4 linked regions of the Arabidopsis thaliana genome follow. The protein of the gene in region 3 interacts with the protein of the main gene of each other region in a biochemical or structural test. Each region holds a gene or a part of one and is shown on either strand. Other genes may lie near its edges.

The links.
Region 1: the proteins of PIL5 (region 3) and HY5 form a complex in vitro, tested with the Arabidopsis thaliana proteins (one study listed by BioGRID).
Region 2: the proteins of PIL5 (region 3) and PIF3 form a complex in vitro, tested with the Arabidopsis thaliana proteins (one study listed by BioGRID).
Region 4: the proteins of PIL5 (region 3) and HYH form a complex in vitro, tested with the Arabidopsis thaliana proteins (one study listed by BioGRID).

Annotation. Positions count from the first base shown.
Region 1 is NC_003076.8:3,590,831-3,597,838, reverse strand, and holds HY5 (Basic-leucine zipper (bZIP) transcription factor family protein), read left to right. Parts: upstream 1-2,835; 5' UTR 2,836-3,038; coding exon 3,039-3,135; intron 3,136-3,365; coding exon 3,366-3,549; intron 3,550-3,659; coding exon 3,660-3,921; 3' UTR 3,922-4,044; intron 4,045-4,187; coding exon of another isoform or gene 4,188-4,256; 3' UTR 4,257-4,478; downstream 4,479-7,008. Other genes in the region: AT5G11280 (tail fiber), read right to left, coding at 1-104, 418-518; OCP3 (overexpressor of cationic peroxidase 3), read left to right, coding at 763-1,002, 1,190-1,567, 1,745-2,062, 2,154-2,282; AT5G11250 (Disease resistance protein (TIR-NBS-LRR class)), read left to right, coding at 5,879-6,495, 6,645-7,008.
Region 2 is NC_003070.9:3,072,728-3,082,230, reverse strand, and holds PIF3 (phytochrome interacting factor 3), read right to left. Parts: upstream 6,464-9,503; 5' UTR 6,379-6,463; intron 5,831-6,378; exon of another isoform or gene 5,773-5,830; 5' UTR 5,016-5,772; coding exon 4,945-5,015; intron 4,854-4,944; coding exon 3,974-4,853; intron 3,886-3,973; coding exon 3,778-3,885; intron 3,687-3,777; coding exon 3,621-3,686; intron 3,389-3,620; coding exon 3,323-3,388; intron 3,248-3,322; coding exon 2,864-3,247; 3' UTR 2,577-2,863; downstream 1-2,576.
Region 3 is NC_003071.7:8,702,229-8,710,901, forward strand, and holds PIL5 (phytochrome interacting factor 3-like 5), read right to left. Parts: upstream 4,777-8,673; 5' UTR 4,557-4,776; exon of another isoform or gene 4,321-4,556; 5' UTR 4,311-4,320; coding exon 4,213-4,310; intron 4,125-4,212; coding exon 3,419-4,124; intron 3,287-3,418; coding exon 3,209-3,286; intron 3,120-3,208; coding exon 3,054-3,119; intron 2,972-3,053; coding exon 2,906-2,971; coding exon of another isoform or gene 2,891-2,905; intron 2,800-2,890; coding exon 2,461-2,799; intron 2,381-2,460; coding exon 2,297-2,380; 3' UTR 2,212-2,296; intron 2,132-2,211; coding exon of another isoform or gene 2,048-2,131; 3' UTR 1,796-2,047; downstream 1-1,795. Other genes in the region: AT2G20170 (NEP-interacting protein, putative (DUF239)), read left to right, coding at 1-45, 133-183, 278-424, 781-1,167. UniProt on the Arabidopsis thaliana protein: Transcription activator. Negatively regulates chlorophyll biosynthesis and seed germination in the dark, and lightinduced degradation of PIF1 relieves this negative regulation to promote photomorphogenesis.
Region 4 is NC_003074.8:6,020,317-6,026,922, reverse strand, and holds HYH (HY5-homolog), read right to left. Parts: upstream 3,080-6,606; 5' UTR 2,953-3,079; coding exon 2,889-2,952; exon of another isoform or gene 2,816-2,888; coding exon 2,629-2,815; intron 2,537-2,628; coding exon 2,338-2,536; 3' UTR 2,213-2,337; downstream 1-2,212. Other genes in the region: AT3G17620 (F-box and associated interaction domains-containing protein), read left to right, coding at 1-425; RBL14 (RHOMBOID-like protein 14), read right to left, coding at 750-1,538, 1,762-1,977; IAA31 (indole-3-acetic acid inducible 31), read left to right, coding at 5,883-6,007, 6,105-6,316, 6,415-6,499, 6,588-6,606. UniProt on the Arabidopsis thaliana protein: Transcription factor that promotes photomorphogenesis in light. Acts downstream of the light receptor network and directly affects transcription of light-induced genes.

The sequences.
Region 1 (7,008 bases), on a different chromosome or scaffold from region 3:
ATAAGAGAGCCTTAATCATCGGAACAGGAAAGATCTCACTAGAAATCAACTGAGACGATGTCACATGGATTGGCGATGAACACATACCAGATCTACATGGAACTCTGTTTTTAAGATTACGATTCAAGTCAGATCAACCAGAGAGACAAACAAACCAAGTAATGACTAATGATCCATATTATTAAGATTCTAATCAACTGATAAAATTTTGAATCAGCTTAGAGTTTCATACTAAAACCAGCTACACAAAAATGCGGAAACTTGAAAATGAATCAGAAATCAAGTTTTTCATTAATCAACCTTACGCAAGAGAAAGACTAAGCGTCGTCCACATATCGGATTCATAGACGCATCACTAGATAACGAAATATAGGGTTCGAATTACGCAGCTGAGAGTTTGTTTTAGTATGAATTTACCTGAAGAGAGGGATCTGGAATAAGATCAAGACGAAGTAAACCGATGAAGCCATAGACGTCCATTTCTTTATCCATCCCTTTGATTGCCCTGGGTTCGCCATTAACAAGCCCGCAAAGAAATCAAATCTAGAGAGAGAGAGAGAGATGCAGAGTGGACCCGTTGTTACCAGACGATAACGACGAAGAACAAAATAAATACTTTATAAACGACACGCTTTGCTACACTGTAAACACAAAACGGAGTCAGTGTTTAGATCTTTAAGGGATAAACGACGTCGTTTACAAAGATTCATATAAAAATCCGATTATTTTTCTCACTGCTGCTGAAAACAGCAAACAGTTTTGATGATAAAAGCCATGGCTCTATCTTCTGCCGGCGTCGTCTCTCATCTTCATCCTCCGTCGTTTTCTTCGTCGTCAGGATTATCCGTCAACAGAGTTCTGTTTCGGAATCGGAACGCTAGTCCTTGTGGTCTATCTCTTCCAATTCTCAATCCGTCTCGGTCTGTACTTGTTTTTGCTCGTGGCAAGAATCGAAAAGGATTCGTGTCTTCGTCTTCTTCGTCTCCGAAGAAAAACAAAAAGGTAAGAAAATCAGAATGAGAATGATTTATGTTCGCAATTGCTCTTACCTGCTGCTTTCGCCGAATTTGACTAGAATTTGGATACACTAACTAAGTGAGCTATTATCGGTTAGAATTGGTGAATCCTCGAATTAGACTTTGGCTCTTTTTGATTTTGTATCAGCCTTTGATTTCATGGTTTGTGGCAGAAAAGTTTGGATGGAGCTGATAATGGAGGAGGTGAGGAGGAGGAGGATCCATTTGAGGCATTGTTTAATCTTTTAGAAGAAGATTTGAAGAATGATAACTCGGATGATGAGGAGATAAGTGAGGAAGAGTTAGAGGCATTAGCCGATGAGTTAGCTCGAGCATTGGGTGTTGGTGACGATGTTGATGACATCGACTTGTTTGGTTCAGTCACTGGTGATGTTGATGTTGATGTTGATAATGATGATGATGATAATGATGATGATGATAATGATGATGATGATGATGACAGCGAAGAAGATGAAAGACCGACTAAGCTGAAGAATTGGCAGCTTAAAAGACTGGCTTATGCATTGAAAGCTGGGCGTCGTAAAACTAGTGTAAGTTTTAGTTCAGTGTTGAAGTGATGTTGAATACATTGTGTAAAGCATAGTGCTTGAGTTAGTGTCTGCTTTGGAGATTTTGCTTACGAATTGTTTAAGAGTTGACAAAGAACAAGTAGTTCTCTGGTTTTCAAATGCATAATTGATAACGGATGGTTTTGTTGTGATCTGTAGATTAAAAATCTGGCAGCTGAGGTTTGTCTTGACAGGGCTTATGTTCTTGAATTGCTTCGTGACCCGCCTCCAAAGCTGCTAATGCTAAGTGCTACACTACCAGATGAAAAACCGCCAGTAGCAGCACCTGAGAACTCCTCACCTGATCCAAGTCCTGTGGAATCATTATCAGCTGAAGATGTTGTGGTCGAACCTAAGGAAAAAGTAAAAGATGAAGCAGTTCATGTGATGCAACAGAGATGGTCTGCTCAGAAAAGAGTGAAGAAAGCTCACATTGAAACGCTAGAGAAAGTTTACAGAAGATCAAAACGACCCACTGTAAGGATTCTCCTTTTACATTTGAATCAATTTCTATGTTACTTGAATGCTCTATCTCACATATGATCATGTTTGATGATGCTGTGAATAGAATGCTGTGGTTAGCAGCATTGTTCAAGTGACCAATCTTCCAAGGAAGCGAGTTTTGAAGTGGTTCGAAGATAAAAGAGCAGAAGACGGAGTTCCAGATAAGCGAGCTCCATATCAAGCTCCGGTTTGATCTAATGTTAACGTTGAGATGGCAATGATTTGTATACTTGATTCTCAGAAACTCATCAACATTGTCGTCAAGGACAAGTTTTTTTGGTGATACGAGGAGTGTTTATAGTAGTAGATTCTGTCCAATGGTGTGGCTGGATATGTTGGACTATGAAATTTTAGGATATCTTGTATTCAGTTTTTAGTTATTTCCTTGCTGAGATTGTGTCTTGTAGAAAACCGTTTCAACTTTGTTTGGTTTATGGCGGCTATAAAGTTTAATTTTAATGCATGACAAAAACAAATCACCAAAAATAAAATAAATTACTTTCACGACACTTTTGAAAGCACTGCCCTAGGCGTGGGCCATGTGACAGAATGAAAGAACTCAGACCAAACTTTTCTGTCCAAGGACAGGAATGGGGCCCACCCAATTAGCTCCCCTATCCATTATTCACCGTAAGATGCTAACCAGATCTAACGGCTAAAATCCACCCACGTTCCAATCTCAATTGCCTTTGGATCCTTGTATTTCCTCAAGGCTCACCTTTCTCCACGATTCACTCTCGATATCCGTTCGATTCTTCAGAGATCTGACGGCGGTAGCCAGAGTAATCTATTCCTTCCCAAAATGTCTCGCAATTAGATTCTTTCCAAGTTCTTCTGTAAATCCCAAGTCCCGCTCTTTTCCTCTTTATCCTTTTCACCAGCTTCGCTACTAAGACAACAAATCTTTCCCTCTCTCTCTCGCCTGATCGATCTTCAAAGAGTAAGAAAAATGCAGGAACAAGCGACTAGCTCTTTAGCTGCAAGCTCTTTACCATCAAGCAGCGAGAGGTCATCAAGCTCTGCTCCACATTTGGAGATCAAAGAAGGTAAACAAAAATTGTCGATTGTTTTATTTTCATATCTTCTCCCAACGAGTGATCTCATTGATTTTCATTCTCATGCATTGGATATCTAGTAAATTCACATCTAGATTTTGTATCACCATTGATTCACATCTAGATTCACAACTTTTAGTCTCCCCCAGAAGATCTGCAATTTTTTATTGTATTTAAAAAGTTTGAAACTTTTCGTCTAAAGTCTCTTTTATGTTTTAAAGGAATTGAAAGCGATGAGGAGATACGGCGAGTGCCGGAGTTTGGAGGAGAAGCTGTCGGAAAAGAAACTTCCGGTAGAGAATCTGGATCGGCGACCGGTCAGGAGCGGACACAGGCGACTGTCGGAGAAAGTCAAAGGAAGCGAGGGAGGACACCGGCGGAGAAAGAGAACAAGCGGCTGAAGAGGTGTCTTTTTCTCTATTCATTGAATTTACATTTTTACCCTTTATATGGAAGGTGATTATGTTAAATAACGGTTGCGTGATGGGGTTGTTTGGTAATTTTGTGGTGAAAAGGTTGTTGAGGAACAGAGTTTCAGCTCAGCAAGCAAGAGAGAGGAAAAAGGCTTACTTGAGCGAGTTGGAAAACAGAGTGAAAGACTTGGAGAACAAAAACTCTGAACTTGAAGAGCGACTCTCTACTCTTCAGAACGAGAACCAGATGCTTAGACATGTACGTTTTGTCGATCTTACTGTTGACTTAACCTGCAACGTCAATGCTTTTGCCATTTGTTTTTTGATATATCACAGTACTGGTTTATCACATTTACGAGTCTAGGATTGACCAATAATTAGTTTAGTTAGTTAAAAGGATCTAAGAAGCTAACTTAAGCTTTAGATTAATTCTCAGAAGGCATGTAGGTTCTTGAAATGGTCATTCACTCGCATATTCTCTCAAAAGGCATGTAAATTCTTCAATGGTTCTTGAAATGCTCACTCATTTTGTTCTATATGAATGGAGAAGATGAGATTGCAAAGTTGGATCTCTATGTGTGTGTGTGGTAATAAAGTCTTTTGAGTTGTTATGTTTTTTATGTGGTGTAGATTCTGAAGAACACAACAGGAAACAAGAGAGGAGGTGGTGGTGGTTCTAATGCTGATGCAAGCCTTTGATCTCCTTCTTCTTCTTGTGTTATATTTTTGTGGATAAAATTTACAGAGAATTGTATCAATAATTATCATGTTAAAATTATATGGGATGTGAGAGCTAATATTGCAATTGTAGACCAAGTTCTCTTATTGTAGTCTTAGATTTCTCTTAATTGAAACATAATGTTGTTTTATAACAAAAATAAGCTAATTTTTGTTCTATGATATGACATTGTGACACTGTAGTAGAAAGGTTGCGTTTTCGATTCCCGCAGTTCAAAGTCCCAAACAAATTCTGGGATAGTGGAATCTTTACTCTTTTTTTTTTCCTTTTTGCCCCTATCCCTCCCGATTTCTTACAGACAAGTCGCCATGGATTTGTAAACGAAGATGCCGTTGATCATATTATGCGGAAATCGGACAAAGAGGGTAGGGTCGATCTTTTACAGCCAAAGCTTGTCAAGCTCGAGAGATGAGCAATCATGTAAGTGTTTTCTTACACTTTTGCTTTCCTTTTTCTAAAATCCATGGAATCCAGACATTGTTTTCTGTCACTGCTACCTTGAACTTGCTGCTCCCTTCTTAGAATCGGGTTGCCACAACCGAATTTCATGGACAAAATCGTACATTTCTTTACCTGTTGTATGCTTTCTGATTCTTTGTTTTCTATTTTAGATTTTTCGTGGATCTCATCTTCATCTATTGCTAGTTGCTAGTGTACTATGGATTGTTTGACATTATTTCTCATGCTTTTGAGGATACTCAGATTCTATCAATGTTAACAAAGAAAAATTTATTCTCCTTCTTTTACCACTTCCATCTTCTTTGTCTTACATTTGGACATTCCATGTCTTTACCAGCTTCCGCAGGGAAGATGTCCGTAGAGACTTTCTCAGTCACGTTCAGATGGAGTTTCAAAGAAAATGAATCTCTCCATTCAATGATAATGAGATTAAAAGAAGAGAGTCATCAGTATATCCAGGCGAATAGAGAATCTAATATCTCGCTTTCTAGCATCTTGCGAACAGGAAGTGAGGCAAAGGCTTGACGTTTTACCTGAGAAATCTCTCATATCATCAATATCGCTGATCAATTTGCAAAAAATCCGACAAAGAGAAAGCTTGAGGAGTGAACAGCAATGTAAGTATTTTAAGTCATGGAACTCAGATTTTGATCAATGCTTTCTTGAAATTTATCTTGAGTTTTTTAGTTGCTGCTTTCCTCTTAGAATCAAAATCTCACAACCAATGAAAAATCCTTATGATTCTACATTCTACATTATCTTTCCTTTTACTGTTTCTTACATTCTGTGTCTTGTTTATGCTTGTGAGGTTAAATTTTCCTTTTGCTGTTTGCTTCTTATGATTTTATATTTAGTTTTTTTTTTTCGTTGGACCTCATTTTGCTATTGAAACATTATTGAACGAAGCTTCTTCTCTTGCTAGTTGCTCATGTAGGACCCGTTCTTGTAATTTTCTGTGAGAAATATCCAGAATTTGGGGTATATATGTAATAGTTTCAACATTCTCAGTCAATGGAGATTGGAGTCAACGTTTTTCACTGTATACAGAGCCTCTTTAAAGCTCTGTGATAGTTGACTGCAAGAAAAGAGATAAGAAAACTGTGATACTGATCCTACTAATTTTATGGCTTCTTCGTTTTTCCTTACCACTGTTGCAGCTGCAATAGGCTTCTTCACCCTTTTGAGAAAACTCAGATTCCATCATGATAACAAAGAAAAGAAGTCAACTTCTTTATCTCCTTCATCATCTCCATCTTCTTTGTCTCCTTCATCAGTTCCTCCACCTTCTTCGTCTTGCATCTGGACACACCAAGTCTTTCCCAGCTTCAGCGGGGAAGATGTCCGTAGAGACTTTCTCAGTCACATTCAGATGGAGTTTCAAAGAATGGGAATCACTCCATTCGTTGATAATGAGATTAAAAGAGGAGAATCCATCGGTCCTGAGCTTCTGCGGGCTATTAGAGGGTCTAAGATAGCAATTATCTTGCTCTCTAGGAACTATGCTTCTTCAAAATGGTGTCTTGACGAACTGGTGGAGATTATGAAATGCAGAGAAGAGTATGGTCAAACTGTGATGGCCATATTTTACAAAGTGGATCCTTCTGATGTAAAAAATCTGACCGGAGATTTCGGGAAAGTCTTTAGAAAAACTTGTGCCGGTAAACCAAAGAAGGACATTGGGAGATGGAGACAAGCTTGGGAAAAAGTGGCCACAGTAGCTGGTTACCATTCAATCAACTGGTTAGTCCTTATGATTTCTACTTGCTCGTAAACTATATACATCTTTAGCTTTGAAACAAAACCCATCAAAGAAATTCGTTTTTGAATGTGTGTGATATTTCCATGGTTATTTACTAAATGTAATTTTCTCTCCCCCACCTAATTGTTAGGGATAATGAAGCGGCCATGATCAAGAAAATCGCCACTGATATTTCGAACATATTGATTAATTCCACTCCTTCACGTGATTTCGACGGGTTAGTTGGGATGAGAGCTCATTTAGAAAAGATGAAACCGTTGTTATGCCTAGACACAGACGAAGTAAGGATAATTGGGATTTGGGGTCCTCCTGGGATTGGGAAGACCACAATTGCCAGAGTTGTATACAACCAACTCTCCCACAGTTTCCAACTGAGTGTCTTTATGGAGAATATCAAAGCAAACTATACCAGACCAACTGGCTCCGATGACTACAGTGCAAAGTTGCAATTACAACAAATGTTTATGTCTCAAATAACCAAGCAAAAGGATATA
Region 2 (9,503 bases), on a different chromosome or scaffold from region 3:
CTGAAAAATTCGAAAAGCAAGATATATCACAATAAGTGGTTCTGTTAGAATTCTTGGGGTTGTGCATTTTACAACTTGTAATCAGCATCGCATTACTTTTTTTGTTTTCTGGCTTCTCTTGATCAAGCTTATAAAAAATAGTCGTCAGGTATATATAGGAACTTGAAAACTTAGTGATTGTGTCACCTACGATGATTTTTGTTCCATCCTTTTTTCAATCTGAATGCATATGCTATCTCTGAGCAAGCTATTCTTAAAAATGTTAACCTAATTATGGAAGTGAGTTCGAACTCCAATAAGCATCTTAGTATTTAAGGTTTTGGTAGCCAAAAATTGATACATTTACCATTAATCATTTATGAACCCAATAATCTTTTATCGAACTAATTTTAGAAATATATGTCAATATTCGTGAAAAAAATAAGTGATCCTGACATAGCGATATCATAAAAAACGAGGGAGAACAAAACTAATATTTTTGTTTTATCTTGGCTCCGACTTAGTTTACATACATTATTCATCAATGTATCTTGTTGTTTACTCTGTACGCTAGGTTTCTATAACTAAAAGGTTTAGACCCAAATCTAGATTACGCTATTAAAGGATATAACCACCAATTATATTGACTAACGAAAATATGCATCCAATAAAAGTTTGTGGAAGTGTACAATTTTTAATAACGCTCTACAACGATGTTGATGGAAGATTTTTCGGCTTTTTTTTGTGTTAAAAAGAATTTTATTAATTAGACAAGGAGAAAGGGACTTATTAAAAAGTATAGAACATTTAGTCATTTTAGATTAAGAGGATGAGGTCACGGAGAAAGAGATAGAGGGCCCAATGAGAAGTGACCTTAATTGTATTATTGTATACCATCTTAATTGGCCCGTTTAGCACTAATCCCATCATCAAGGAAACATTAGCACATGCATGCACTTTGTACTAAGGTCCCTTTTCATTATTTTCTGTTATCTTTTTCTATATTTTAAAGTTTCTTCTAAATATTCCTTTCGTTAATAAAAAAGCAATGTTTTCTGATAAATATATTATGCCCCCAAATTGAAAGATAATCATTTTTTTATTATATTTTTTAATCATTTTTTTGGCTGATGCTTTTCTAATTAGTTGAGTTATTGTGGATTGAGTTAGTTTTTCAAATAAAATAAATGGTTTTATAATACGATTTTGATGATTATATACTTGTTAATTAAGTCCTTTATTTTATGTTGTAGTTCTACTGAAAAAATACTTTTGGATTATACGGAAAAAAATTAAACACCCAAGTGGTTATGCTATTTTTACTAATTGCTTGCCTCATTTGCTTTTCCAAAACTGATCATTTGATTTGTGTTTTGTGATTTTGTGGTCGAGAAAAATATCAAACTTAGAAAAGAAGGCAAATAATATTACAGATTTGATTAAAAGTGAGAAAAGAGGGCTTGTATGGTTGAATTTCTCTCTAATATGGCCCAATCTAACTGGTAAGAAAGGAGAGAAGAAGAGACATAATCATAGGTAATCTTGATATATTAATGTAGCCAAAAGCAAAATGATGTTTAACTTTTCTTTTGCTTTGCCACATTAACACCATTTTCTTCTATTTCAAGTTTCGATCTAAACCTCGTGTAATTCATTAATTTGTCTCCCTAGGTGTTCGACGTGTCCATTTTCTACTGCTTGTTGTCTTTCGTAATTAGTTAGAGCTGTCTAATCCACCTCCATTAGAAGATACAAAATCTAAATGGAAGTATAAACCCTTTTTTGTTCTTCTCTGCTTTCCACTATATAGACTACCTTTTTCAGTACTAAAGGTTTTAATGTTTTATTTATTATGCATTACTTAAGTTTAATAAGTCTCATCAATTTAAACGAGGACAGAATCATCTAAATTTCTCTTCTATATATTACTTTTAAGAAGTCTTTGGTGCAAAAATGTTTGTGAAGACGCGATTTACCACACAGAACTTAAGTTTACGCTAAAGCTATATAGCCTATATATAGGGGAAACTATTAATAAAAGTCTGCTCGCTGGCTGGCAGGCTGGGTATATAAAACATCTCTAACTATAGAAACAAGCATCTACGAGAAGTTGACAACGTTTTGTGAACATAAAACAAAGTAACAAACTTCCTAAAGAATTGAGGAAGAAATTTTTTACTTTCGACAAAACTCCCAATCGATACAATCATGGACATATATATAGCTTCCAGCATCCGAGAAACAAATCAGGAGCTCACATTTGCCCTCTTCCAAACTATGGTTCTCTAGGCTCTAGCTCAACTCCTCCGATCGTTGACCTAACCCTAACCATCGATTCCCTTTCTTTTTGTTAAAGAAAACGTAACAGTCATGCGTGAGCGAATCACTTACTACGTATAACATAAACTACATATCAAGCTAAGTGATGCGCTCAAACACCGTGTATCATGTAACTTATATACACCCTATAGGTTCCAACAAAAAAAAAAAAAAAAAAAAACTTCCAATAATTTCAATTTTCGCGTGGGTATATATTCAGCTTCACTAGTTCAATAGTCCTGGCCCAAAAAAAGAAAAAAAAGGAAATCGAAAGAAAATGTCATAATTAAGTTATTTAACAAAATGGGCTGAGAAGCCCATCACGCTTGTTTAACCAGGTCCATCTATATAGTGAACCCCACGCTACATTAAAAAGGGAACAAAACCTTTGAAAATATTAAAAACATTTTTTAATTCAAAACAAGAAACAGAACAGAACCCACCAATAAGCACAAAGCTCTTCACTGTTATAACGAACACAAATTAATTTTGTTTAGGATTATAAAATAGATTTGTTTGAATGCTACAAATAAACAATACATCAGTTCATAAGTTTGTATTTATGTCACGACGATCCACAAAACTGATCAGAAGACCCCTGTTTTCTCTTTATTGGTTTCAAGTTACTGTTGTTATTCGTCGTTGTTTGATCTTTAGAACCAGATAAATCTCTAGTCGAGCCATTGCCAATCGTCGAAGAACCGGCAAAGATACCACCACCAGAGACACGTGGAATACCCATCGCCACTGGTTGTTGTTGCATCCCCGAGACTTGGAACTGTGGTCCGTGGTTAACCGATGAACCACCACGGCTCAAATCAGGCAAGCCCATTGCATAAGGCATTCCCATACCCATTGCCATTGCAGCAGCTGCTGCCGGGTAATGCCCCATACCCGGTGGGAACATAACCGCCGGTGGCAGATAGTAACCAGACGCCATTGACATGATCTGTTGGCGATTATTGTGTTTAGATTATTAGTTTGCACGATTTTTATCGACTCTAGAGAGTAATGAGAGTGTTACCTGCACTTGAAGTTGGAGTGACTTGAGATACTCGATGGCTTCATCTAGCATCGAAGCTTTGTCCACCTTTAAACCATATAAATGTTACAAAAGCTGATTAAATACGAAAATTCTCGGCTTGAACAATCTTGCTTACAATATGGTTTCAATTGTTTTTCCGGTTTAATAAATACGGAAACCAATCAAAAACCTTTAGCAATTCGTTCTAAGATGCAAGTTTTAGTTTATTTGGCATTGCTCCTTATCTTTCAAACAAAAATGAATCATGAATGGTATTTGTAAAGGAGAAGAAGCTGACCTTGTTACAGTTTGGAATGAGTTCTTGCAGGGCACGCATCTTCTCGTTGATCCTATCACGCCGTCTCTGAAAATTGAGGACAGTAAGTTACCAAATATAGCAATCTTTTGTGAGTTTGAGAATGGACAAAAACCCTTTAGGGGCTTCACTCACTCACCCTTTCAGACAGATTATGCACTTCTGCAGAGCGGCTTCTCTTTGAACCCAAACCCGTTCGAGATGGACCTGCTTCCTTTCTTCCATCTCCTGATTCTTCTTCCACATCCTGCTCAACAATATTCAATAAAAAAACTGAAGAAAACAACAAAGAAACGAAATTGTAATGTGCATAAAATGACATGAGTTTAACTCACTTCACTATGACAGTCAATGTCTTGAATATTCGAATGCTTTCTCTTTAAAGAAAGTGAAGGACTTTCGGATGGGCCATCGAGACTATTACCCGAGCCAACAGAAGAACATACAACTGCTTTTTCACTCTCTTGGTCTTTTCTACATGAGTCCTCTGATATTAGGCAAGCCTTTTGGTTATCTTTAGGCGTAGCAGAAGCAACAGACTCGTTAAGAACCTTATCTTCAGAGTCTTTAGCTCCAAGAACTCTGGTCTGAAACACATTTGGCGGGCTTTGAGGACTCTTTTCTTTAGTGTCATGAAGGTTATTATTAGTAGTCTTCGCAAAAGTTGCAGGGCGTAAGAAATGTGAAAAGTTGACCAAACTAGGCTTGTTACTAGTAATTAGTGGTTCCTGCGTCTGAGTAAACCGATCCGGATTGGTTTGTTGGCTAGGAAGATCTCTAGCTCTATCACTTCCATACAGAGAATGCGATTGGAAACCGTTATACTGCGACGAAGAAGCAGCAGGAGCTGATTCATTGCCATCCTTTCTTCTCTGAAACAACGGGAAAGCAGTTTGGTTTACCGCCATATCACTCTCTTGCTCGTTGACAGTAACAGGAGACGACACATCACGCAAGAAATCAGAGCAATATCCATCAAGGGAGGGATGATGATTCAACCATGGAACAAAGTCATCGTCTTGACTCAAACCCGTCATTAGTGATGGCACTGACATAGGGATCTCGTCCACCATAGTCGTCTTTGAGCCATTTCCAATCTCTCTAGCTCTAGAAGAGTTTGCTTGTGGTGGAGGAATGTTCCTCGATCTACTTGACTGACTTTGAGTTGATATCTGACCATTTTCCCACACCAGCTCCACAACTTCATCTACAGGTCTGTTATTTTTCACACACAACAAAAAAACACATGAATTTGATGAACTTGAAACAAGGCAGACTTAAAGAGAGACAAGTGAATGGGACTCACGGAGAAGGGTTCCTGTCTTGAGCAGATTCAAGCTTAGCTTTGGTGAGCCTGAAAAGCTCAAACAGAGGCATGGTGTTGCGTTTTACAGAAACAATCTTTTACGAAGTCTTGATCCTAAAAAGGTGAATTCATAAAATAGACGAATTAGGCCAAGAAAAACTTGCCAGAAACAAAAATTGTACACTTTGTAATGCTTAAATTAGAAAACTTTTCAGTTCCCAAATTAGAAACTGGGAAATAAAGAAATAGAAAAGAAATCAATGTCTCAATCATCAATATGCAATATAAAAAAAGCAGAGATTTTCACTTAGTTTAATGGCAACATGATTAGTCAAATCAAAACCAATTGTTTAATCACACTGAAGAACGATTCAAAACAGCGCACTCAAGACCTAATTAACCATCTCTTAAGAAAACCAAAACAAAAAGATCAAAACTTTGATCTTCTTGTCTGAATAAAGCTATCATCGTAGCTGACCTGAGAAAAAGGGTACTGAAGCAATCGAAGTCAGCGAAGAGAGAAAGAGAGAGTGAGAACCTCAAAGTATTAAAGTGGCATCAATCCAAATGCAGAGAACAGAGGAGAAAAAGTCGGCGAATTGGAGTAGTCCTGAGAAAGTAGGCGGAGAGAGAAGGAGATGGAGACAAATCGACGCACAAGACGGACGCAGAGAGAGAAGAGAGGGGACCAAATCGTCTGTAACTGAGGATTTTGATTTTTTGTTTTCACAGTCTCTGAGACTCCGTTTCTCTCGAACATTCAACCTTTTAGCGTCGCCCGAATCATTAGCTCTACTCTTTACCTTTCTCTCTATTTTTCTTTTCTCCCTATATTTATAAACACATAATTAAAGAGAAATTGCTTCATATAATCAAATATTAATTATGTCAATGATTATATATAGTGGATTATATATGTTGCACTAAACATTGCAACAATTTGTTAAAACACACACCAAATACAATTCTACCATGTTTGTTTGTTTTTTTTTGCAAATAAAATGATGAATTTTTGCATACAAATAGTCGATCGTATGATTACTTTGATAAAAATTAAAGACAATGATAATTGCGTATGTATTGTTTTATCAAATAGTGTTCATTCTCTTATTTTAATAGATGGTCAATTCTCTAATATACTAACAAATCAGAAATACTATCTATAGAACCATCTCACTGAGATCTTTGTGATTAAACAAAGTATTGATTACTTTTTTGGGCATGTTGTAGGTATCGAGACAAGTTTAATAATTATCGTAAACAAGTACTAGTTGTTGTATTAGTAGTGGTTTTAGGCTATTAGTAGAAATAATTAATGTTTAATTAGATGTACTATATATAAATAAATTACGGTATTATACAATCCTTCAATTGATATGGTAACTGCTTTCATAAGATATTGTTATTAAACGAGAAAATTAAAGCAAAAGGGACCTAGAGAAGAGAGTTGGAGCATGGTGACCAAATTGCTTCTCACCGACCTCTGCACACTTCGTCTGTCTCTGTTACATGATACAGGTCCTTCGCATTATTACAATTAATTCATGGTGTGTCTATGAATAATTTAATACACTTACAAATATGAAAATAATCATATACTAGAATATGTTATCTTATCTTAAAGTGACATGGGCCTGTGATACACTAAAGTTGTGTGTGAAGAGATGTGTTATCATAAAGGAACACTGCCAAAAAAGCATCACACTCCAAGTGGGGTTGAGCAACCTTGTCTCTCTTTATCTATCTTAATTATTAAAGGTTTGACTTCTCTAATCATTACTATTTTTCTTAAGTCTTTTTTAGTCTTTACGATACTAAATTACTAATCATCCTCAAATTTGGGGACTCACTCAGCAAGTTCTATTAACTGATGAAAACCAATCATTTGCGCTATAATAATTGAGATTTTTTTTAATCATGGGATATAGTATGTGGTATAGTGGTTCCAAACTCTTAGATTAGAGCATATTATCTTTAAATCTAATTTGTTCCTTTCTATAAGTAAAAAATAAATAAAACCATCTAGAATATCAGTCGAGTTTGTTCACGAACGTTGCATCTTCTGGTTTATCTCTCGTTATAGCTCGGTTGATGATGAAATGTCAATTAAATCGCCATGCAAATTAGATTCTAAAATACGTAACAACCCATTGTATACTATAAACTTTCCAAGTGGATAATTTGAGTACATTTGCATGGACCATTATTGATTTCATCACTGTATTTTATGGCCATCTCTTGTTCAGAAAATAATTATAAACAAATTTATTATAAAATCAAACCGAGTAAATAAATAAGTAGATATATATATCAAAGAAAGAAGAAAACTCGGAATGGAAGTGATCCTACTATATTATTTGGGAAGTACATTTGAAATATAATCTTCTTTTTTGTAAGTAATTATATAGGTATGCCATTAGAAATAAAATTTTAAAGAGTAAATTAATTCATTTCTTTAAAAATTAAAGAGTCAAATACTAATTTAATTAATTAAATTTAACTCAAAAACGAAATACATTATTAATTTCCAGAAAAGTAACCAATTAAAATCAACAAATTAGATTTGATATCTAAATTATCATATTAATTTTTAAAATGTAACCTTATTTTTTGTAAGTAATTACATACGTATGCCATTAGAAATAAAATTTTAAAGAGTAAATTAATTCATTTCTTTAAAAATTAAAAAGTCAAATACTAATTTAATTAATTAAATTTAACTCAAAAACGAAATACATTATTAATTTCCAAAAAAGTAACCAATTAAAATCAACAAATTAGATTTGATATCAATATTATCATATTAATTTTTTATTAATTATTATAATTCACCTCTCATCTTTATATGATTCTATTTTTGCGAAAAAATAATATCATCGTTATAAAAAAATAATTAGAGTTTTTTCGCATATGCCACAATTTGAATTTTTAAAAACGAATATAAATTGTTCAGTACATGAAAAAAATACTATAACGGGTCAAAAGTAGATTTAAGAAAAAAAATTACTGAGTACTGTGTCATAATTTGAATATTTATATTCAATTTCATACATATTATTTTAAAATTTATAATCTTATATACTACAATAATTAATAACATATTAGATTTTTTAATGTGTATGATGTGATTCAATTTTTAATACAAGCTGAAAAATCCTACAATTGACGGGTTTAAATCAATATTAATACAAGATGGTATACTACATGTGAAACTCTAAAATTAACAATCAAAATACAAGTATATAATTTTAAACACTAAACAATATAAATAATATCAACAAAACATATACAACTCGTAGTTTCTATACATTTAAAATCAAATAAAATAATATCATATATTTATAATCAATTTTACAATAAAAGTTTTTAGTTTAACTAAAATATAAGCCTATCTGCTGTATAATGCAAGTTAAAATTATAAATAAGCAGATTACCATCACGATGGATGTACCTTCTCACATACACACCTATCAAAAACTTAAAACCTTTCAAAACCTCTTGGTATATTCAAATTAGGATTCTTCATTCATGGAATCATTATTCCAAAGATTTTGGGATGTCTTATGAAATGATTTTGGCAGAAGAGGATGTAAATTTTTTTGAATAAAAAGTACTCACCAAAACATATGTTTATTGGGATTTTTTAGATAATTAAATCAGAGAATAGGGCTGGACATATGAGTAACCCATTCGAGTTCATGTAGAACCCGTTCGGGTTTGGGATTAATGGGTATATGATTTACTATTTAATAGAATAATTCTAAATATTCGGTTCGGGTCGCGTCCAGTTGGGTTTAGGTCAGTTTGGATAAAAAGTTTCAGGCCCTAAAAGTACTCAAAAAATAGAAACGGATATTTTGTATGTAAATAGTGCGTCTCCAAACAAAAAAAACTTTTAAATTTATTAAGTTTTAATAAATTTAATTTAATTTAAATATATTTTACTAAAGTTTGACAAATATAACAAATAATTTTAACAAACATAGCAAACATAACAAAGTATACAATTTAATTTATATAAAATATTAATGTCCGTGCTATATACGGGTTATGATCTAGTTGCTATATGTTAGGCCAAAACTCAAATAAAATGACAAGACCCTGTCCCCGCACAATTCTCTCAATCCGCCGTGGAATAGGCCAACAACAGGTTTTTGATCACTTACTCTACATTCTCTACAAAAATAAAAGATCTGATCTTTAGCTAGCCGACCACGTGCCAGAAGTTTATACTGGCATTAATCTTTTACCTCATTATCATGAACAACTTAGGAAAGAGAACCCTAGCTCATTTTTTTTCTTTCTTTTCTTAGAACTGGCCCTTCCACAATTTAAAAGGTCAGATACATTTGCTATATATATTATCAAAACGTCACTTTACGTCAACACAAAAGCAAATTTGTTGGAGAAGATGATCATGATCAGCAGGTAAATTATTCTCGACGATGGTGATAGATGATGAGTCGATACACGTGGTGATTTTTGAGGGCACAAGAGATGTGACACATGTGACATATGCTATTACAATCTGGCATATTCTATATGAACAATATAGAAGA
Region 3 (8,673 bases):
AACGGTTTTAGAGACAGTTTACAGAGCATTTCAGCTGGATGGATAGTAAGTCAAAAACAAAATTACTTCAAAATTTCATAACAATTCAAAAAGAAAACCTATAAAATTGTAAAATAAATAAATATCTTACAGGTGTCCCCGAAACTAAATCAGAATAATAGTGGCTTATTTACATATTGGACCGTAAGTTCTTCAAACATATTGAAAGTTTGATAGTTCACTACATTGCATGTCAAGCCACACTGGCTAAATTGGTTGGAATTTATGATGGAAACAGGCAGATGGACATGAGAAGACAGGTTGCTACAATACAGTATGTCCAGGGTTTGTACAAGTGAGTAGCAAGCTCGCACTTGGAACTCTTGCCAGACCAACTTCCACTTATGATGGCGAACAATACTATTTACAAGCCATCATTTATCAGGTATATATAACCCCATGTTTCTCAAATCCCACTCATATTGACAAGTCGATGTTGCATAACACTTAGGTATATATATTGACCAAAAATGGTAGTAAAAATATCGACCGATGATTACTATTGTTTACTTATAACTCAAGTCAGAAACAACCCAAAATTATTTTTGTGTAATCGAATAAAGAATAAGCAAAACTTTATAAATTTACGTTTTGATTTGGTTTCATGAACCAAAACCAAGAATTAAAAATGTTTTCATTTGGTTTCAATTTCCATAAAACCTATATATAAAAAAAAAAAAAAAAAAAAACTCTAATTTCAATCGCTACTTCTAAAAGAGTTACTGCTTTTGGTTTAAGCAGGATAATATTACAGGAAACTGGTGGTTTTTGATAAAGAACGAGCCAATTGGGTATTGGCCAAAATCATTGTTTCATGTTCAAGGTTTAGCTTATGGAGCAAGTCGTGTGTTTTGGGGAGGAGAAGTTTTCAGTGCACTGAGACAGAGTACAAGCCCACTCATGGGAAGTGGACATTTCCCAAAAGAAGGTTTCAAAAAGGCAGCTTTTGTGAACGGCCTTAAAGTGATAGATCGTGAAATAGAAAAAATTAGAAGTCCACCAGTTAAAGATTTAAGATTATTCGCAAACAGCCCAAAATGTTATAAAGTCGAAACAAAAACAGGGGTCGGTGAGGAGTGGTCTAGTGCAATTTTCTATGGAGGACCAGGAGGATGCACCATTACTTAACAAATCTTTAAGGTCATTTACGTATAAGTATACCTTCTATTTTGATGTGTTAAGGAAATATATAGTAAAATAACTTTGACAAAAATAAGGAAATAGTAATACTAATATATAAGTTTTCAAATACTATAAATGTTAAACTTCTTTTTACATCTTCTTTATTAAGCAAATACAAAATTGATTTAACGGTTTGATACATATATATGCATGTTTGTCAAGTCTTATGGTCATGGAGATAGCAAGTCTTAACGGTTTGAGAAATTTGTTTGCCTTTTCTTTTAGCTTTATATTTTCGATATTATGGTCATGGACTGGAGATACCATATTAGTTGACATCACTACGTTTTTAGATGAAGAGATCCTATGAAAGACACTACAAAATGGGCAATGCTTGGCCAATTACATCATTAATTTTCTTGCTTTTGTTTGCTGGCTTTTGTCCGTCTATTTACATATTTTGTGTCACATTGTGAGCTTAGTTGCAAGGACTAAGATTTGTTTGTGCATTTGTATCGATAAGTCTTTGGGACTTGGGAGTGGAACATTTGTAAATATTCACTGTTAAGCTTAATCAAGAATTGCTTTCGTCAAAAGTAATAATAATAGACGAGAAAAGAATAATGATCGGGTATGTATATGAACCTAACTTTCTCATATTTATTCTTTGCACTAAGCCTCTGCAACCTCTATGTATTGATTCCTAGATCTCTGGATCATTACATGTACAGCTCTCTAAGTATACAACCTGAGAAGAGAGGACAAAACAAACCAAAGAAAAACAAGAAACAGATGGCGATATATATACATGTTAGGTCTCTCTGTCAATTTCTCAAAATTGTGTTTGCTTGTGAAAACAGATCTTCTTGTTGCTCCATGGACATTATTAACCTGTTGTGTGGTTTCCGTGATCCTCAGATTCCTTACTACTACTCACCCTGCTCGAACTTGGATACGATGTTGCTTGATTCTAAAATAAGAAAGATAAGAACTTGTGACTTGTAAGCAGAGGAACTAGCCATTTTTGGGAAAAAGATGACTGTTTAGTACCTGAAACTGAGGTGGTTGGGTCGGGTCGGATAAGAAATTGTGTTTGCTTGTGAAAACAGATCTTCTTGTTGCTCCATGGACATTATTAACCTGTTGTGTGGTTTCCGTGATCCTCAGATTCCTTACTACTACTCACCCTGCTCGAACTTGGGTACGATGTTGCTTGATTCTAAAATAAGAAAGATAAGAACTTGTGACTTGTAAGCAGAGGAACTAGTCATTTTTGGGAAAGAGATGACTGTTTAGTACCTGAAACTGAGGTGGTTGGGTCGGGTGGAGACCGCGGAACTGCTGATATGGATCCGTGTAACCAGCTGGATACTGAGGCTGGCCCGAGGTTGGATCATACTGCTGGTTCGGTACAAAGACTCTTGACGGGTCAGAAGCATGAACAGGGTATTGCGGTCCTGACCCGGCCATGTGAGTTTGTGTAGGCAAAGGTCTTTGAGCGGCTAACATGTTGGGGAATGGCATGAAGGAAGGAGGAGGAATAGGCTGGTTCATACCCATACCCATCGCCATATGAGGCATGTACTGTTGCATGCCCGGATACATCATTGGCATCATTCCACATCCCATTGACATCATCTGCATTAATCTCAGTCATATAAACTGGAGTTTTCATGGTAAAGTGTACATTTTCAAGAACTTAAAAAGGGCTTTCAAGACTTAGAATCCTTTAAAGAAAATGAACCTGTATTTGAAGCTGAAGAGATTTCATGTACTCAATAGCTTCATCTAGCATCGAAGCTTTATCTGACTGAGGATCAAAGAAACAACAATCAGTAACAAGGTTAACGTATACAATAACTTGAAGAGAAAGAAAAAAGATCGTCGAAGACCTTGTTGCAGCGAGGTATAAGTTCTTGCAAAGCTTTCATTCTCTCATTGATCCTATCTCTCCGTTTCTGTTACCAAATCCGCGACATTCTTCAGATTCATTGCGAAATCTTTATCGAAAAAGATTACAAAAACATAAGAAAAAACACAAACGTACTCTTTCAGAGAGATTATGAACTTCAGCAGCACGAGATCTCTTGGTAGATGTTGTTGATACACGTGCTTGTTTTGTTTCCTGCACCACAAGAAAACACCAAAAAAGTTAATTAAAAATGCGCTGAAAACTACAAAGTCAGACTAAAATGCGCCGTATTTGACTTGCGCACGATAGCTAACAACGACTCTGTTCTGTGTTTTTTTGACTCACCTCGCTACGGGATTCAGTTTCATCAGTAGTGGTGGCTTCTCTCTCTTTTCGTTTCCTATCATCGACGTTCGTCTTCTCCGGTTCGATTTCGCTCTTTGACACTACAGATGACGATGTACCGGTTATCTCGATCGCCGGCGCCGTCATAGCCACTGCTTTTCCCTTCCGATTATACGCGCCGCCTCCAGCTACGGCGGAACTGTCAGTACCATCCGTCCGCCGTGTTAAACCGGATTCACTCGCCGCCGCCGACGGTGTTGCGCTAGGACTTACCTGCGTAGATTCTCTCACAACCGCCTTCGAAAGCAACGGTCCAGATTCACCACCTCTACCGTTATTAAAATCCCCTCTCAGCCTCGAGAAATTCATGAAGTTCCTCACCGGCGGCCTCGACTCATTCGTCGAAGATACTGGCGGTCTCGCGGCGGTGACTTGACTCACCGTCGCGGTAGCCGTCGCAGTAGGTGCGGCGGAGAAGAGAAGATCTGAGCAGAAATCATCGTCACGGAGAGGATAATGAAGCCAAGAAGTCATTTCATCTTCTTGAATAAAAAGATTCTGATCTGAAGAAGGTTGCTGCTGAGGATCCATAGAAGGAAGAAGCTTCGGTGGAGAAGAAGAAGGTTTCTTGGTGTGAAGTCTCTGGTTTTGAACAACAACTTGACCGTTCTGCCATAAAAGCTCCATAAGATCATCATCTTCACCCCTAAAGTTTTCAATACTATAAATACTCAGATCTTGAACTAATCAAACTTTTTTTTTTTTTTAATATAAGTTTGAATAAAAGAACTTACATAGTAGTAATGGATTTTCTAGGAAGATGATTCAAAGAAGAATTATGGTTGTTGACATAATCATCATCGGTATCGAAGTCAGGGACAAAATGATGCATATCTCTCTCTCTACAAAGATGATGATAATGGTAAGTATTAAAATAACAAACAGTTATCTTCTTCTTCTGGTTTTATAACCAAAAGAAAAACCCCAGAAAGATCCAAAAGAGTAGCACTAGTGAGTAAGTGTACTACACACAGAGATTACTAATCAGTGAAGAAACATATATACTACCCAGACTATATCTAACCTAGAGAATTGAGGTTGGTACTGGATAGGCTTCTCAAAAAAAAAAATATATCACCTTTATTTCTGGGGAACTAGTATTGGATGACTGGATCTTTTTTTTTTTTTTTTTGTGCTAAAGGATGACTGAATCTTATTCTGAATTTTCGTGCTTTAAGAATGTGATAAGCTTCTTAAGGGTTTTTGTCTTTTTCTTATATGTCTCTCTTTGGAGTTTGTTTTTGCCTCTTCCGTGACTCTAGCATGTATCGCATTTACTATTGTGTCAACTAACTTTAACAGTGAATTCTCTATTTTATTTATGTGTGTATGTGTCTGAATAGAAACTTGTGCCCATTTTTTAACCTCTGAATAAAAAACCAAGTTGAACATAAAAACAAAATGTCTGAGATCATTTGTAGCTGACGGAGATAAAATAATCAGCCTCATTGTTTCTCATCCGTACTATAAATTGTTTTCATGGCATTATCATCAAAAAAAAATTATTTTATAAACTTTATCCAATGATCCGGTTAATTTTGGTAAAAATATATTTAAGTATTACAAAATAAATTTATATTCAAGGATCATCACACATTTATTCCGAGTTTAGAATATTAACTGATTAACACTTAAACATAACTGAATCGCATGTTACCAGATTACCATTTAACTTGTCTGGACCAAACCTAGACATCCTACATGAATATAATTTTCTTTTGATAGAAGATCGAATACCGGATGAAATGGTATTTTAGCAATAAGACTTGAAAATGTGGTATTTTGAGAAATGTCTCAAAAAAATATGACTGACACGAAAATAATATTTTGTTTTAAGGGAGCCTCGAATTCTAGAGGAGTATTGTAGCAAAATATCACACTTTCAAGTTGTGTTGTCAAAATACCACCAAAAGTTTTGTTTTCCAAAAATATTATACTTCAATTTTGATTTTCAAGAGTTCATCAGAATTAAAAAAATTAAGTTTGAATTGACCATTTTAATTTTAAGATATTGTTTTTAGGGGTTAGGGTTTAGTGTTTAAAGTTTAGAGTTTAATTTTGAATGTTGGAAGTTAAATTTAAGTTTTATGTTATTTTAAGAAACCAAACATTAAGTGGTATTTTTAAAGAAATAAACAAAAACTTAAGTATCATATTTAAAAATTGTCCTTTTTTATATCGCTAAATTATAGATTTAAGACTACATATATCTTGCAGGAAATATTCCTTTAGTCTTGTGGTTAAATCCATTTGATTCCGCTTTTTCCACCAGAGTTTGACTCCACTAAATCGTGTTATCTTGCATAATAGATATTGGCTATAGAATAGACCATGTCAATCCAAAGATGTTAAAAACAAAAGACTACAACATATGCAAACATGATATTAAAGACTTAAGTGAGTCTCCTCTTCTATAAACAGAAAAGTCGAATGCTACATAAAGTGTTAATTTATAATCATTTATAGTAGTCAAGTTAGTGAACAAAGTGTTAATTTCTTCTATAATACTTCTTTTGTTTCTATTTTGTTCTAGTTTAAGATTTTGGTACATTGATTAAGATCATTTAGTTTCTGTTTTCTTAAATTTTAAAAATATGTTTAATTACATATTTTAAAATAATTTAACCAATAAAAAGTTGCAGAATTTCAAGAATCAAAAATAATAAAATAATAATAAATTTTGCATTGAAAACAACAAATAAAATGAAACAACTTATTTTTTTTTATAATCATTTTACCTTTTGATAAAGAGCATTTATCATTGATATGGGAACACGCACATATATATATATATATACACATTAATATGTATATACATATTTTTATATAATTCCAAGTAGGGAAGAAAGAAACAGAGAATCAGATATGGACTCACATTGGTGGGGACAATATTAAGACAGAAATTGGGTGTTTTTTTTATTGATAATCTCAATGATTTATGAGACAGGGTAATATGTTTATTTTTGTTGCTAAACCACCCTCTTGCATGATCTATCAAACTTAATTATTTATTCTTTTATTCAGATTTAGACATAATCTATAAACATCAATTTTTTCAAGCTAAATTTTGTTGCTAAATCACCCTCTTGCTGTTGTACATTTTTTTTGTCCGCTAAAATGATTTGTACCTATCTAAAATATATTTTGATTTACCATCAAAGTTACTTTAAATTAAACAAAACGCAAAATAGAAAAAAATATTATCTCCTGATAAAAAAGTCGTAAAAAATTTTGATTGAATAATAATGATTTGCGTTTTTGTTCTTTAGAGTAAAATATAATATTTTATGTTAGATGCAAATGACAAGACAAAAACTGAAATTAAAGCCTGATTGTGGTTATATTTAAACAAAATGCTAAGTAATAATATTCCGAAAATTATCATATATATCTCGTCTTATAGACTACATATGCTTATGCAATTGTATGTAGCTTTTTTTCTTTACCAAATTATGATTTTGTAGGAAGTAGGAACTGAAACAATGAGACATTAAGAGAGAACATATTTAATGGGAGTCTCTTAATTACTAATAAAATATAAAAAAAAATAAGAGAGAAAAGTGAGAAATTCTAAAATTTTTGTCTCTTATTTGAATAACTCACAAAAAACTCTTGAGACATTATGTGTCTATAATTGTCTATCTTTTTCATCAAAAAAAAATTGATAATTTAATTTATGAAAATATTTAATTTATATTATTATTTAGAAACTCATTTTGGTTTCTCACCGTCTGAAGTACGTACTCTCGGTGACTGTGTTAATATTTGAATAATTAAATTGTTGATTAGTGATAATAACATAAATTCTTAGAAAGTTATTGTCTACTTGATGATCTTTACCAGCTTTGGAATAAAATATCAAAAAGGTCTTTATTAGATTAATAGAATAACATTTAATTTGTCATCAGATTTAGATACTAAATTAGCATGTTGGGTTTAAGGAAACGATAACCATAACAAGAAAACCTTAATCATTTGCATAAGACAATGATTTTCAGGTAATCGCACGCTAATAATACTTTATTAGGTCTAATATTAGTCTTTATGCAATGCTAAATGATCTGTAATCACTCTCTATATCCGTGTGAAATTTAGATAAATAAATAAATAGTGATTTAATAAATGCAGTATACTATATACATAATTAAATTTGGATAATAATATGTTGACGTCATTAGTACAAGTACAAACCAGTAGGTTATAAGATCTGAACATATGTATATAACTTATGTTTTAAGAAAATATATAGATTTTAACAGTTTTTTAAATGACTAATCGAATTCACAATTCACAAGATTGGCATTTAGTCTACTACAATTTTAACGTTGGAATTTTCATGAAACACTTAAACTCATAAATCATAAAACACATGGAATCGCATATAAGAACAGAATTATCGGCAAAAAAGGGACAAAAAATAGAATCATCAGTTACAATATAATAAAAGTAGTAACATAAACTCGTAATGTAAACTATAATCTCCATCATTTTCTGGCCCATACTGTTCCTATTCGAAGCTTCAAACTAGTAACTATTATTTAACATTTATGGAAATTTTTTTATAGATTTAATAAAAAAAAACAGGCTAGGCTCGTAGAGTCGTAGACTACTAATGTTGAATTAAATAACTGGTAGAAATGATTGACAACAAAATTTACAAGTAGAAATGATGACGAAAATGGTTGACAGAAAAAAATGATGACGAAAATGATATTTGATGGCGACATGGCTATATAATATTTATCAATATAAAATAATTAATATTATATTTAATTAGTACGAATATAGTAATCGTATAAGATAAGGTGGACCCAAATATTATAACTATTTAAATTTTGGATCTGAATTTATAATATTCTTATTTAGGAAAACTGCAAACTATTTCGGCGGTGGTTGGGGACTCATTTGCCCACACCTTCTATTTCTAGTACTATTTTATTTGTATATCAAACGAGAAAATAAAAACAATACGATTCTAAATTTATCTCACGACTAGCACATGATTTGAGGCATAAAGGCAAAGGATTTCTGTGGAAAAAAAAAAGATAATTGATTAGTTGTAAAATATTTTTGTAAGTAAAGAAATGTAGGAATCGATGAATTGAAAAAGCATATATTGATAGGAAGACAAGCTGCTCGCTGTATCATCGTGTTATGTTCCTCCACGAGAGGGTAATAATTGGTGATCCCTATCC
Region 4 (6,606 bases), on a different chromosome or scaffold from region 3:
ATACTGTGAGTCTTTCTAGTGTTAGAGAAGAGCAACTTGCTGTGTTATTTCAGCGTAAGGACAACTTACATATGGAGATTTGGGTTACGACTAAGATTGAACCTGAAGAGGTGATGTGGAGCAAGTTGTTCTTAGCAGTGGATATGCAACCACTCACTGATTTTAAGTTTGGAATTGCAGATGCGAGTTTCATCATTGACGAAGAGAAGAAAGTTGTTGTAGTCTTTGCTAAAGACAAAGATGTAATGTATCCCACTCACAACACAGCTTACATCATTGGAGAGGATGGATATTACAAAGAAGTGGATCTCGGAAAAACTACTGATAAAATTCGAGATCCACTTGTGTGCTCGTATGTTCCAAGCTCAGCGCAAATCAAGCAAGGAGGCAAAAGGAAGAAAAAAGGGAAATTGATTACTGATTAACATTTATATCTTGCTTTGTGATCTTCTTCTTTCAACAAAATTTGGTTTGAAATAGGATAAAATTTTGTTAAAATCGAAAGTCTGTGAAACTGTAAGTTTGGTGTGAAGATACTATATTATCTGAATCACTCGCTACTTTCAGCAATCTAATCAAAGGACCAGTTCACGTAGAACCAAATCTTCAACAACAAAAGAGAAGACAAATTGAAGAAACAGATCGAAAAACACGACCACTAACTCTGCTATTCATAAGCTAATGCAATGAATGATTCAACAAAGCTTCATTCACAATCCTTCCTCAGCTTTAAGAATGCGCTCCCGAGATCAACTAAACCTCTCTACTCTTCGACGGCGCAGCTCATCTAAAGGGAGATCATTAGAAGAAGAAAGTGCTGGTCCCTGATTCAGTGACCATCCATTTCCTCTAGCCCGTCCCGAGCCACACATCTCGCAAGCACTTAACCAACCAGAATTGTCATATGTACACGACTGACATCTCCAAATACCAGGTCCTGCTATCCCAGTCTGACCTCTTCCCACTCTTCCTCTCCCCGTAATCCTCCTTCTCCGAGACCTAACCATACCATTCAGAAACCTCAAGGGCCACGTCACCAATCGAGATACACCTCTAACCGCCATAGTGACTGGATCTGAGCCTGAGTAAGAACCTTTCAGCTTCAAATAGATAATACCAGCAAGGATTCCACCCAAATGCCCAAGAAACGAAGCGTTAGGTACAAACATCTGCACTAGAATCAATTCTGCCCAAGCAGCATACTTTGTTGGAACCAAGATACCATACACACTTGAGTAATCCTCAGCTTGAGAATTAAGAACAACTTTCATAGCAAAGAGAACACCCGAGAACCCAACCGCATACTCGTTGTAGTAAGCTCTGTCATAGTCAAACAAGAGAAGAAGCGATTTGGCTAACAACAATGTGACTCCTTGAGACATACCAATAAGAGTAAAGACCATTGAAGCAAACTCACTGCTTCCCATTGATGTCTCAAGCTTGATACCTTTCCAGAGAAGTGACATCATGTTATAGACTAAGTGAGGCTCGTTAACATGGTAGAACGCTGATAGAAATAAACGCTTCAAGTCCTTATGCTGTTCAACAAATACACATCAAGATTAAAAAAAAAAACTTTAACAGAGAATAGAATTAATCAATCAAGAATGATCTAATTAGATATCGAAGAACAAAATCCCTAATTCTCCAGATATTGGTACAAATTTCCCAGGAAACTCAAATTCGAATTTCAGATCGAAATCGGTCAAATTGCAATCAATTTCTCTTGGCGAATGAAGGAATTTATTAAGATTGGTTTACCTTGAAGATGAGGTGAGGATTGAACCAGACCTCACTGATGTGAGGAATAACGGGATCGATAAACGCCGGCCTGAGATAAACGAGAGTGTTCGCGGCCAGGAGACTCGCCGTCACCGGTGGTTTCCACGGTAGTCTATAGTACTCCGCGACGGCGCTTAGAGCCAGCAACGGCAACATTCCGCCTCCACTTCTTCTCCCTTCACCAAAATTCTCCATTTCTTCGTAATTATTCTTTTCTTCTGATCTCTCTGAATCACTTACAAGTAATTAAAATCTCATCTCTTTCACAATATTTATATAGCAGCAGCTTGGTCTCTACGAAAACAAATTCTCCAGAGACTTCTTCGTTTCACTCGCATAAGAACATGTGGGACCCACCACGGCATTTTAGAACTCTAGTTTTTATACCTAATCTCTTCTTGCCTTTTTTCGTTTTTTTTTACTTTATTTTGCAAATCTGAATGACAATGATGCTCAAAGTGAATGTTATTCGAACAAAAAGTGTATACAAACCAAAACCAAAAAAGAAAGAAAGATAATCATACAACACTGAACAATGGATTAAAGGGTAAATATTTAGTGATTGTCATCAGTTTTAGGCCTTGTGTTAATAAGCATTTTACGAAGCATTGTGTTCTCGTTCGTCAAAGTAGAAATCTTCTCTTCGAGCTGGTCATTGTTGTTCTGTAACTCATTAGCTCTTGATTCCAAATCACTCACATACACTTTCTTCCTCTCTCTTGCTTGTTGCGCTGATACTCTGTTCCTCAATAATCTGTAATTTTTCACCACAGTTTCTTTTTTACCATTTCAATTCCACAAATCGAATGCTAAGAAAAAAAAGTTTTTTTACTCATCATTGATTACCTCTTGAGGCTTCTATATTCTTTATCAACAGGGTTTCTTCCACGGCGGCGTTTAGCTGTAGAGACTCCATTTTGAGTCTGGTCAAGCTCCGGATTGTTGACTCCATCGTCGGCGCTGCTGCTTAGAACACATGTTGATCCAGCTGCTTCCATGTCAGGAACCATCAACAACTCCTCATCACTTTCCTCTGAGAATTATACAAACCAATTTCTCTAAACCAAATTAAGTTAAATATTAGATAAGTTTCTTTCAACACCTACCAGTTTTGTGCTTCTTGTGGGAAGAAGACGAACTCGAGTTCCCATTGGGTCGTTGGAGAGACATCAATATCTTTTTGTCTTTTGAGATTTTGCTAAAGACGAGAATAGAGAGGTAAGAGGTTGAAGAGAATATCAAACCAAAGGAAATTGCATCTTTTCTTTCTTCTTTGGGGCCACTCAAAGTCTGCAACTCGTTTCAAACAAAAAAAAAGAGAAAAGTATTGGTTGGCTTATAAAAGAACACGTAGGTTTATGTAAGACCACAAATGCAACTGTTTCAATCCAATGGTGTGTATCTGTGTTTTCTTTTCCACTATATCCCGTTGAACTTATTAATTGATTTATTGTTCTGTTTTGCTTTTAAAGTCTTTGTTCATGATTTCTACGGAAAACAACCTTTAGTGAGTATTCACAGAGCGTGTGGGTTTAGGACAATAATTACTGTCTAGAACCATACAAACGTACTTGCAGACAAAGTCAGAGGCACAACTATGTGTGTGTGTATCTATTTGCATGGCGTAATAGGCATGCATAAACTCATCATGTGGTCATATATCTCGTTTTCTATTTTTTGGTACACAAATAACTCTTTTGTATAAAGACAGCTAACTAATGTTTTGAATTTTTAAATGTTATCTCTTAAAATTAAATTCTACCAATTGTAAATTCAGTCAATCATTCCGAAGCATTTTTTCATGCTTTGTGATTCCGCCATATATTTTCCCATGTTCTTTTTTACGTTTTTCATCATAATTTTAAAGTTTTACGATTTTTTGTTGTTATCAATGAAAATGGACCAAGTAAACTTCTACCGTAATGGTTGCATATTAGATAGTGGACTTATGCGCGCGCGCGGAAACAAAACTTGGCCGGTTGAATCGTCGTCTGCCTGGCATCTAACAGTTTTTTCGAACATTGTCATAATCAATATATTGAGGGATGTTAATCATGAAGTCGTATGGAATGGACGCGGGAAATCACTCATAAACAATGTGAACATTTTATAAGGTTATAAAGAAGAACAAGTTTCATCCTTCTTTTGTATATTTCGACTCATACATATCTTTCTATTCAGGAATAAGTATAAAACATAATATAACATGTGGCATATCGACCGACCAATACATCTTTCCCAACCCATGATCAACCTTCTGATTGTGTTTTAATTTATTCGTCATGAAATGGATCAGAATACTCATGATGAGTTTGTGTATCACTCAAGGGACCCCTTGTCTTAAAATCAACTAAAATCATTTGATGTAACTTTTATACGAAGTACTATCCAAATAATTAATTTTCATAAGCAGCGGACATTCATTTTGTTTGTATGACTATATGATTTTATTATTTGAAGCTGTATGCAAACGTGGAGATATGATTGCATCTTTGTCTATGCATGAACATGCCACGTTAATTTAGGAGTACATATCATGATATTGATCTCTCTTGCTATAACTTTTTGGCACAATACTATTGCATGCCTCTCTATATTACTTCAACAAAACGTTTAAATTTACCATGGTTAGAACTTAGAAGTAATCGAGCTGCAAACCATGGTGATCATATTTTTTCTCGTTCGCATGCTCGGTCTTAATATATTGAGAGTTATGGCCAAAATTTGAATACCATTTTAAGAAACTTCAGAAAATCAGGAGTTTGATTATTATCTTTGGTTCTTACTTACTTCAACGAAAACTAATGACAAAACTCTTTTAAGTCGAGGTATGCGAGTAATAACTCCTTGGACATATTTTTTTGATAAAAGTTTAATTGATTATAGACTTATAGTAGTCTTAATTATTATTATAAGTATAAAGAGGAGTAAACATTCATCATTAGACTACTAGACATTATAAAGTTATATATATCGAAATTCTAACAAGAAGGATCCCTAGAGACCAGACATGCATGTCCAAAGACAGATCGTATAATAGCTAATAGGAGTCTTATCGATCCAACATCCAAGGTAGGCTTTATTACAAAGTAACTATTAGAGTGCACTTCCCATGATGATTCTAGAATCTAATATTATTATCAATACAGCCAATGAGCATTATGTGATGTAACAATTTATGTCTACTTTATATTTTGAAGTTATCATAAATCAACGAATTCTATTTTGATTTTCAAAAAAGAGTAAAAGATTTGGGCTTCTAAGAGAGACAATCCACAAAGCTAAAGAGACATTAACAGGAAACGTATAGTTAAAGAAAAGAACACTGTCTGCTCCACAAAAACAATATACACAAAACTCTTCAAGTCTACCTTATTTTTATTGGTTCTGCAATTTTCAATGGTCTGTTACATTAATGTGTCATAAGAGACAATTGAGTTTTCTTATCAACAGAAGGGTCTAAAAAATTGATCCCCCAAGTTCATAGTCTATAGACTCAGTTTTTTTCTTTCAAATATTGATGTGTAAGAAAGTGAAAGTGATGTGATGCTCTGTTTCTGTTTACGGCTAGACAATAAAGCCTTTTTTGGCCCTTATCTCTCCTAATTAAAGAATCTGAGCAGTTGAGAAATTAAAATCAAAGCCTTAACAGATTAACTCCAACATCATTTAGACACACTTTCCTTGGATACCACCTTTTTACGGAAACTTCGAATCTTACATGTAAACAAATCTCAAAACCATAATTTCACATTTTTACTACTAACTAACTCCAAAGATCTAAACCCATGAATTAAGTATCTAATCGGGTAATTATTACAGTGGTTTTCAGAAATCAATGTGTGTTCATATTTAGAAGGTTGAAAGTTCATAGTTAAATGTGGGGAACCTTATGTTCCTATTATTTATTTATATTAAATTTCAAAGTCGATTAAATCAATTTTTAAATTCAAAATCTATGCAATAGAATCACCTACTAGTCCTTTTTTGTTTAACTAGACAGAGAGAAATAGAAATAGAGAGAGAGAGACATGAAGAGCACTCTCAATAGAGAAGAGAAGGAAGCATGAAGCTAGCTCTGCAGCTTCAAGGTCTCATTAATGGAGGTCTCTAACTCTTGTTCTTCATTTTCTTCATCCTCTGTCGACAGTACTAAACCTTCTCCTTCTGAATCTTCTGTTAATCTCTCCCTTAGTCTCACATTTCCTTCTACTTCTCCACAAAGGTCTTATTCACATCACTTCTCTGTTTTTTCCTATGTTCTGTTTTTGCTCTGTTTTCTTTTGTTCACATTTGTGTTTTAAATCTTTATTTTTTTGTAGAGAAGCAAGACAAGATTGGCCACCGATAAAGTCTAGATTAAGAGATACACTAAAGGGTCGTCGTCTTCTTCGTCGTGGTGATGACACTTCTCTCTTTGTTAAGGTTTATATGGAAGGTGTTCCCATTGGAAGAAAACTCGACCTTTGCGTATTCTCAGGCTACGAGAGTCTATTAGAAAATCTCTCTCACATGTTCGATACTTCAATCATCTGTAAGTAATTAATGAACAACACATAATTCCGTAAAAACAACATTCAACTAAATTCAAACAGTTTGAAGTATATCCATGCATTGTCTTGGCTATAACAGGCGGTAATCGAGATCGAAAACATCATGTTTTGACATATGAAGACAAGGATGGAGATTGGATGATGGTCGGAGATATTCCATGGGAGTATGAATCTTATATCTTGATCTTACATTGGTATAATTTCCTCGGTTATAGCTATTCTCTAATTTTTGAAATCGATGTTTTTGTTTAGTATGTTTCTTGAAACCGTG